2 linked regions of the Macaca fascicularis genome follow. The protein of the gene in region 1 interacts with the protein of each later gene in a pairwise test. Links are inferred from orthologs where the notes say so. Each region holds a gene or a part of one and is shown on either strand. Other genes may lie near its edges.

Region 1 (4,006 bases):
CCATGGGTGCCACTTTGCAGCCCACCCACCCCCCCACAGCCTACCTGGCACCTCCAAGGAGTCTTCTTTGCCTCCTACTGCACACCGACCCCCCATTTCCTCACCCCCACCCTAGGGGCACAGCAAGGAGGGTGCTGGTGCCAGCCCCCCCGCACTCCATCCGAGAGACACGGGCTCCCCCTCCCTCGTCCTCCGTAGGCCCTGAGCTCCAGGGCAAGGCAGAGCTGCGGCCTTCAGCGGGTCCTGCCAGTGCAGCCTCCGGGAGTCTGCCCAGGGGTCCCCTGTGCCGCGGTCTTCAAGGTTCAATTCAAAGAGCACCTCTTCCACGACGCCCTCCCCGACCTCCCTCCCGGGCCCCCTCTCCCCGTGCTCAGAGGCGCGTCTCAGCGTCGGGACGGCCAGCAGCCCAGCAGAGCCGGGACCGGGGAGGGCGCACCCCGACCCCCTTCCTGGGAAGGAGCGGAAAGAACGCGGACAGGAGGCCGGGGCGGGGAGCAGCCGGCGGGGGCCGTAACTGCGCGGCCGAGGCCAGGACGGCGCTCCTAGGGGCTGGGCCGCGTCCAGAATGGGACCCCCGAACTCGGCGCCGAGAGCCCCGGACACCCCGCGAGTAGAGGCGGAGGCGGAGGGACCCACTACCCGGCGGGGCCAAGAGGGGCAGCAGGAAGACCCGCCCCGGTCCGCGCCCGCCCTCTCCCCAAGCCCCCGCGCCGGACCCCACTTGTTGCTGCGTGTCGGCTCTAGGCTCGAACTCGCGCGCCCCGCTCGCGTCCGGCTCCAGCCGCTCCCGGTCGGACACCTCGGGCCGCGAGACCCTGGCCGCACGCCCCCACGACCCCCCGGGCGCTCTACCTGCGCCGCCGCCTCCCGCTCGCTTCGTCCGCTCCCTCCGCGCAGCTGTCAGTCAAGCGGACACGAGAAACGCGAACCGCCACCGCGGCTTTCGGCCCTGCTCAGACGCCGTAGCTCCGGGACGCACCAAGATGGTGGGCGGGGGTGTGTCGTCTGTTGCTGCCGCGGCCGTGCAGGCCCAGGAGCCCCGGGCCGCATGGGGAATCCCCATGGCGGCGGAAATTGCGGCCAGCTGCGCCGGGGCCAGTGTATGAACGGCTGGGGCAGCGGAGAACGAGCGGAGCCGGTCCCCCCGCGATAGTGGACGCGCCCGGGGCGGGGCCTGGGGGGAGTGCTTCCCGTGCGGCCGGACCGGGCCGGGCAGTCTGGGACGCGCCGCCGCCATGATCATTCCTGTACGGTGTTTCACTTGCGGCAAGATCGTCGGCAACAAGTGGGAGGCCTACCTGGGGCTGCTGCAGGCCGAGTACACTGAGGGGTGAGGCGCGGGCTGGGGCCGGGGCTGGGGGCTGAGTCCGCCCTGGGGTGCGGGCCGGGGCGGGAGGCGCAGCGCTGCCTGGGGCCGGCGCTCCATGAGCAGCTTCATACCCGGCCACTCCGGCCCAGCTCTGTGATCTGCTTTCGGGAGAACATTGTCCCCTGAAGTCTGGGGAGAGAGCGGAGTTGGGCTTCAAACCAGTGGTGTCCTGGGGATTCTAGGTGGCCTGGCGGGTGGCAGGCGTCTTGTCACCCGCAGTAAAGCCCTTGGTCTCCGTCCTAATCTCTCGTCTCTGCTCCCAGACCCACCCCATGTCCTGCAAACCTCGCTGCAGGACAGGCGGGCGCGGCGGCTCACGCCTGTAATCCCAGAAGTTTGGGAGGCCGAGGCGAGAGGCTTGCTTGAGCCCAGGAGGTCGAGACCAGCCTGGACAACCTGGGGAGACCCTGATCTCCAGAAATTTTTTCTTTTTTTTTTTTGGGGGGGACGGAGTCTCGCTCTGTCGCCCAGGCTGGAGTGCAGCGGCGCGATCTCGGCTCAGTGCAACCTCTGCTTCCTGGGCTCCAGGAATTCTCCCCAGTCGCCGGGACTACAGGCGTGTCCACGCCCGGCTAATTTTTGTATTTTTAGTAGAGATAGGAGTTCGCCATGTTGGCCAGGCTGGTCTCGAACTCCTGACCTCAGGTGATCCACCTGCCTCGGCCTCCTGGAGTGCTGAGATGACAGGTGTGAGCCACCGCCCCTGGCCCTCTTATCTTTTTAATTCCCCGGACTTGGTGGTGCACACCTGTGGTCCCAGCTACTTGGAAGGCTGAGGCGAGAGAATCGCTTGAGGCTGGGAGGCAGGTGAAGATTTCAGTGAGCCGAGATCACGCCACTGCACTCCAGCCTGGATGAGAGAGTGAAACTCCGTGTCACGCACACACACACACACACACAGAAAAAGAAATGCAGGGCAGACTTGCTGACCACCCTCATCATCGGGCTTTGTGGGGGAGGCATCCTTCTCCTGTGCTTGTCCCTCAGTGCTGCTGTCACCACCGTGCCTGAGTCTTGGTGCCCCTGCTGGAGTCTGACCCTTGCCTGCTGAGTCCTGGTCACATGTGAAACCCCAGGCTCGTGTGTGCCAGCCTGCCATAGGCTCTCAGTGCAGCTTGCTGGACGAATGAGTAAAGCGAGTGGGCTGCCAGAGTGAGTGGCTGGTGGCCTGTCCAGACCCTTTCCCAGGGATATGAACTGCAGGGGCCTCCCATGTGGCCTCCCCTTTCCCAAGCTTCTCTCTCTGCACATTGGAGCCATCAGTGTGGGAGTTTTCTGGAAGTATTGATGGTGACTGGACCTTGGTCCCAGGGAAATTAAAGCTTCTAATTGGCTTGGGAAATGGGAGAGGTGGCTCCCTGGAGAAGCAGTCTCTCCCTGATTGAAGGAAGCAGAGGTGAGAAAAGACGCCACAGTGGCAGAGTAGGGCTTGCTCTGGGGTGGGGGATGAACCAGCTAAGGGCAGGCCCCTGGAGAGCTACCCTGCTGTGGCTGGTGCGGGATGAGGGGAGCTGCGCATCAGGACCTCGGTGGCCTTGGTTTTCTATGCTCCCCCAATTACCTCTAGTTTTCGTTTCATTTATATTTCTTACATATGTTAGACACACATATGTACAGCCAGAGTAGGTGGGAGAGAAGGCTCCTCACGCTCCACCCAGGGATCTGGGCATTGCCAGGTTACTCCAGCCAGGATCATACCGCTAGGTCTCTACTTCTCATCCAGGTGAATGTGTTCGCCTTGCCGGTAGCAGGGGAGTGAGGCCAGCAGGCAGTGAGAGGCGGCCTGGATGTGGGCTCCAGGCCTGTGCAGACCGTGGAGAACTCAGCTGGCCTCTCTGTTCCTCCCCTCGCTTGACACAGGGATGCGCTGGACGCCCTGGGCCTGAAGCGCTACTGCTGCCGCCGGATGCTGCTGGCCCACGTGGACCTGATCGAGAAGCTGCTCAATTATGCACCCCTGGAGAAGTGACCAGGCTGGAATCCGCCTACCTGCCATGCTGACCATGGGCCATGAGCATCCTGCCCCAAGTTCACAAGGCTGAGGCATCCAGGAGCTGGCGCAATGCCTCGCCACAGCGTGTGTGTGTCCCATCCCCCACTCTGGAAGGAACAATCCAGTAAAGGTCTTTCAGAACTACCAAGGTCCCAGCCCTCACTAGGATGTCAGGGGCCAGGACTAGGCCCAGCTTTCACCGCGGCAGCCCAGGGAAGCCGACTGGGCCATGAATTCTCCTAGCCCTGGGGCCAGCCTGTTCCACAGGTACCCCTGCAGGAGGTGCTGCCAGGAGAGCCTTCCATCTCAGGGCTGAGGTTCCCTCCTTCTGGGTGCTCTTCAGACTGAGCAGAGGCTCCTGTACTCTCTCTCTTGGAATCTGAAGAGCCAGATTTAGGCCAGGCACGGTGGCTCACCCCTATAATCCCAGCACTTTGGGAGGCCAAGGCGGGTGGATCACGAGGTCAGGAGATTGAGGCCATGCTGGCTAACACGGTGAAACCCCGTCTCTACTAAACATACAAAACAAAAAAAACAGCCAGGCGAGGTGCCGGGCGCCTGTAGTCCCAGCTACTCGGGAGGCTGAGGCAGGAGAACTGCTTGAACCCGGGAGGGGGAGCTTGCAGTGAGCCGAGATTGCGCCA
Region 2 (2,302 bases), on another chromosome or scaffold:
GGAGCCTGAGACAGGAGGATCACTTGAACTCAGGAGGCTGAGGCTGCCAGTGAGCTATGATCACACCACTGCATTCCAGACTTGGAAATAGTAGGAGATTCTATTTAAAAGAAAAAAAAAAGTTACTATGTTTTGTTTTTAAGATTTTGTTTTTCTTTTTTTTTTTTTTTTTTTTTTAGACAGTCTCACTGTGTTGCTCAGGCTGGAGTAAAATGGCTCACTGCAACCTCCAGCTCCCAAGTTCAAGCGATTCTCCTGCCTCAACCTCCTGAGTAGCTGGGATTACAAGCACACAGCACCATGCCTGGCTAATTTTTTTTTTTTTTTGAGACAGAGTCTCGCGCTGTCGCCCAGGCTGGTGTGCAGTGGCATGATCTCGGCTCACTGCAACCTACACCCCCCGGGTTCAAGTGATTCCCCTGCCTCAGCCTCCGAAGTAGCTGGGACTACAAGCATCCGCCATCATGCCCAGCTAACTTTTGGATTTTCAGTAGAGATGGCATTTCACCACGTTGGCCAGGCTGGTCTTGAACTCCTAACTTCATGTGATCGGCCTGCCTCAGCCTCCCAAAGTGCTGGGATTGCAGGCATGGCCCACCACACATGGCCAATTTCATTCTTTTTAATGGCTGCTTCTCAGTTCCCAGTTTTCCCCGACATCTGCTCTGTAGTCTTTAACCCTGATCCTTGTGCTAGAAGAAGGACAGATGTCTGTCTAGGACCTGATCTCTGCCCTCATGATTTGGTTTCATGTGATTATTATCCATGCACCTTGTGGATGTATATATATTACTACCCTCCCCCTCAACACATCCTTTCGCCTGTCACAGTTGCCTGTGTCCCTGGAGTGTTACACAGTGCCTCCCGAAGACAACCTGGCCCTCCTTCAGCTCTACTTCCGGACCCTGGTTACTGGTGCGCTCCGTCCACATTGGTGCCCCGTGCTCTATGCTGTGGCTGTAGCTCATGTCAATAGCTTCATCTTCTCTCAGGACCCACAGAGCTCAGTAAGTTACATCTCCATCTTCAGAGGAAGGAAGAGAGCTGCCTCTGGGCCAGCTGGGGGAGAAGTGCTTGGTACCAGCCCTCGGCTCAGTGCCACCTCTCCCTGTTCTGCTTCTAGGATGAGGTAAAAGCTGCCCGCAGGAGTATGCTGCAGAAAACGTGGCTGCTGGCAGATGAGGTAGGGTCAGGGCCATTAGGAGGGTGGGATATTAGAGGATCTTGGGGGACAGAGACCACAACAGGATCTCATTACCTACTTCATAAGGTTTCTTTCCTCTCTGCAGGGTCTCCGGCAGCACCTCCTCCACTATAAGCTTCCCAATTCCACACTCCCAGAGGGCTTTGAGCTCTATTCTCAGTTGCCCCCTCTGCGTCAGCACTACCTCCAGAGACTGACTTCAACGGTGCTCCCAAATGGGGTATCAGAGACCTAGGATAGTTGCTATAGATGGAAAGATGGGTACATTGTCCTGTATCCAGCCTTTCAACAGATGCCTGGCCAGACAAAGGACATTGTGTCCTAATGGCAGGCAGAAGACCAAGGAGCAGAAAGCTTGCCTTCCTGGGAGCAGGTGGTTTGAGCTGTTTTGGAGCAGAATGAGCCCTACCATTACATCCTGATACCTGGAGCTTCGAAGGTCTGTGCTGGGAGTGAAGAGCAGCTTAGCTATTTACCCCCTCTTTGGGGACAGGGCAAACTAAATGCATCCCTTCTTACCTAACTCCCAACCCCTGCCCCGGGCTAAGGTATATGAATGCTATAGTTGTACATTAAAATGTTTTTTATCTCCCGGAAATCTGATTTGGACTGATTTCAGCCATGTTAGTTCAGGGTTAGTATGTGGGGGTGGGTTATCCCAGGTGAGGAGCAGGACTGCTGTGAGAGAGATGGGGAAGAATCATAAGTGGGAGGTAAAAACTTTGTCCACATCTGGAGACAGCAAGAATATGGGACCTGCCAGGCACAGTAGTGAACACCTGTAGTCCCAACTACTTGGGAGGCTGAGGCAGGATGATCACTTGATTCCAGGAATTCAATTCCAGCCTGGCCAACATAGTGAGATGCCATGTCTGTCTGTCTGTCTATCTGTCTGTCTATTTATTTCTGAGACAGGGTCTTACTCTGTCACCCAGGCTGGAGTGCAGTGGCATGATCATAGCTCACTGCAGCCTCGACCTCCTGGGCTCAAGCCATTCTCCCACCTCTGCCTCCTGAGTGGCTGGGACCACAGGCAAGTACCACCATGCCTGGCTAATTTTTTGTATTTGTAGAGACAGGGTTTCACCATGTTGCCCA

What was found. The genes of interacting proteins can lie anywhere in the genome.
Region 2: the proteins of POLR2L (region 1) and RPAP1 interact in binary tests that used the Homo sapiens proteins (3 or more experiments, as listed by UniProt). The link is inferred for Macaca fascicularis from reciprocal best matches to the Homo sapiens genes POLR2L and RPAP1.

The regions. Positions count from the first base shown.
Region 1 is NC_088388.1:742,499-746,504, reverse strand, and holds POLR2L (DNA-directed RNA polymerases I, II, and III subunit RPABC5), read left to right. Parts: upstream 1-1,214; 5' UTR 1,215-1,235; coding exon 1,236-1,330; intron 1,331-3,229; coding exon 3,230-3,338; 3' UTR 3,339-3,506; downstream 3,507-4,006. UniProt on the Homo sapiens protein: DNA-dependent RNA polymerase catalyzes the transcription of DNA into RNA using the four ribonucleoside triphosphates as substrates.
Region 2 is NC_088381.1:18,078,873-18,081,174, reverse strand, and holds the end of RPAP1 (RNA polymerase II-associated protein 1), read left to right. Parts: intron 1-830; coding exon 831-1,007; intron 1,008-1,123; coding exon 1,124-1,183; intron 1,184-1,289; coding exon 1,290-1,439; 3' UTR 1,440-1,802; downstream 1,803-2,302. UniProt on the Homo sapiens protein: Forms an interface between the RNA polymerase II enzyme and chaperone/scaffolding protein, suggesting that it is required to connect RNA polymerase II to regulators of protein complex formation.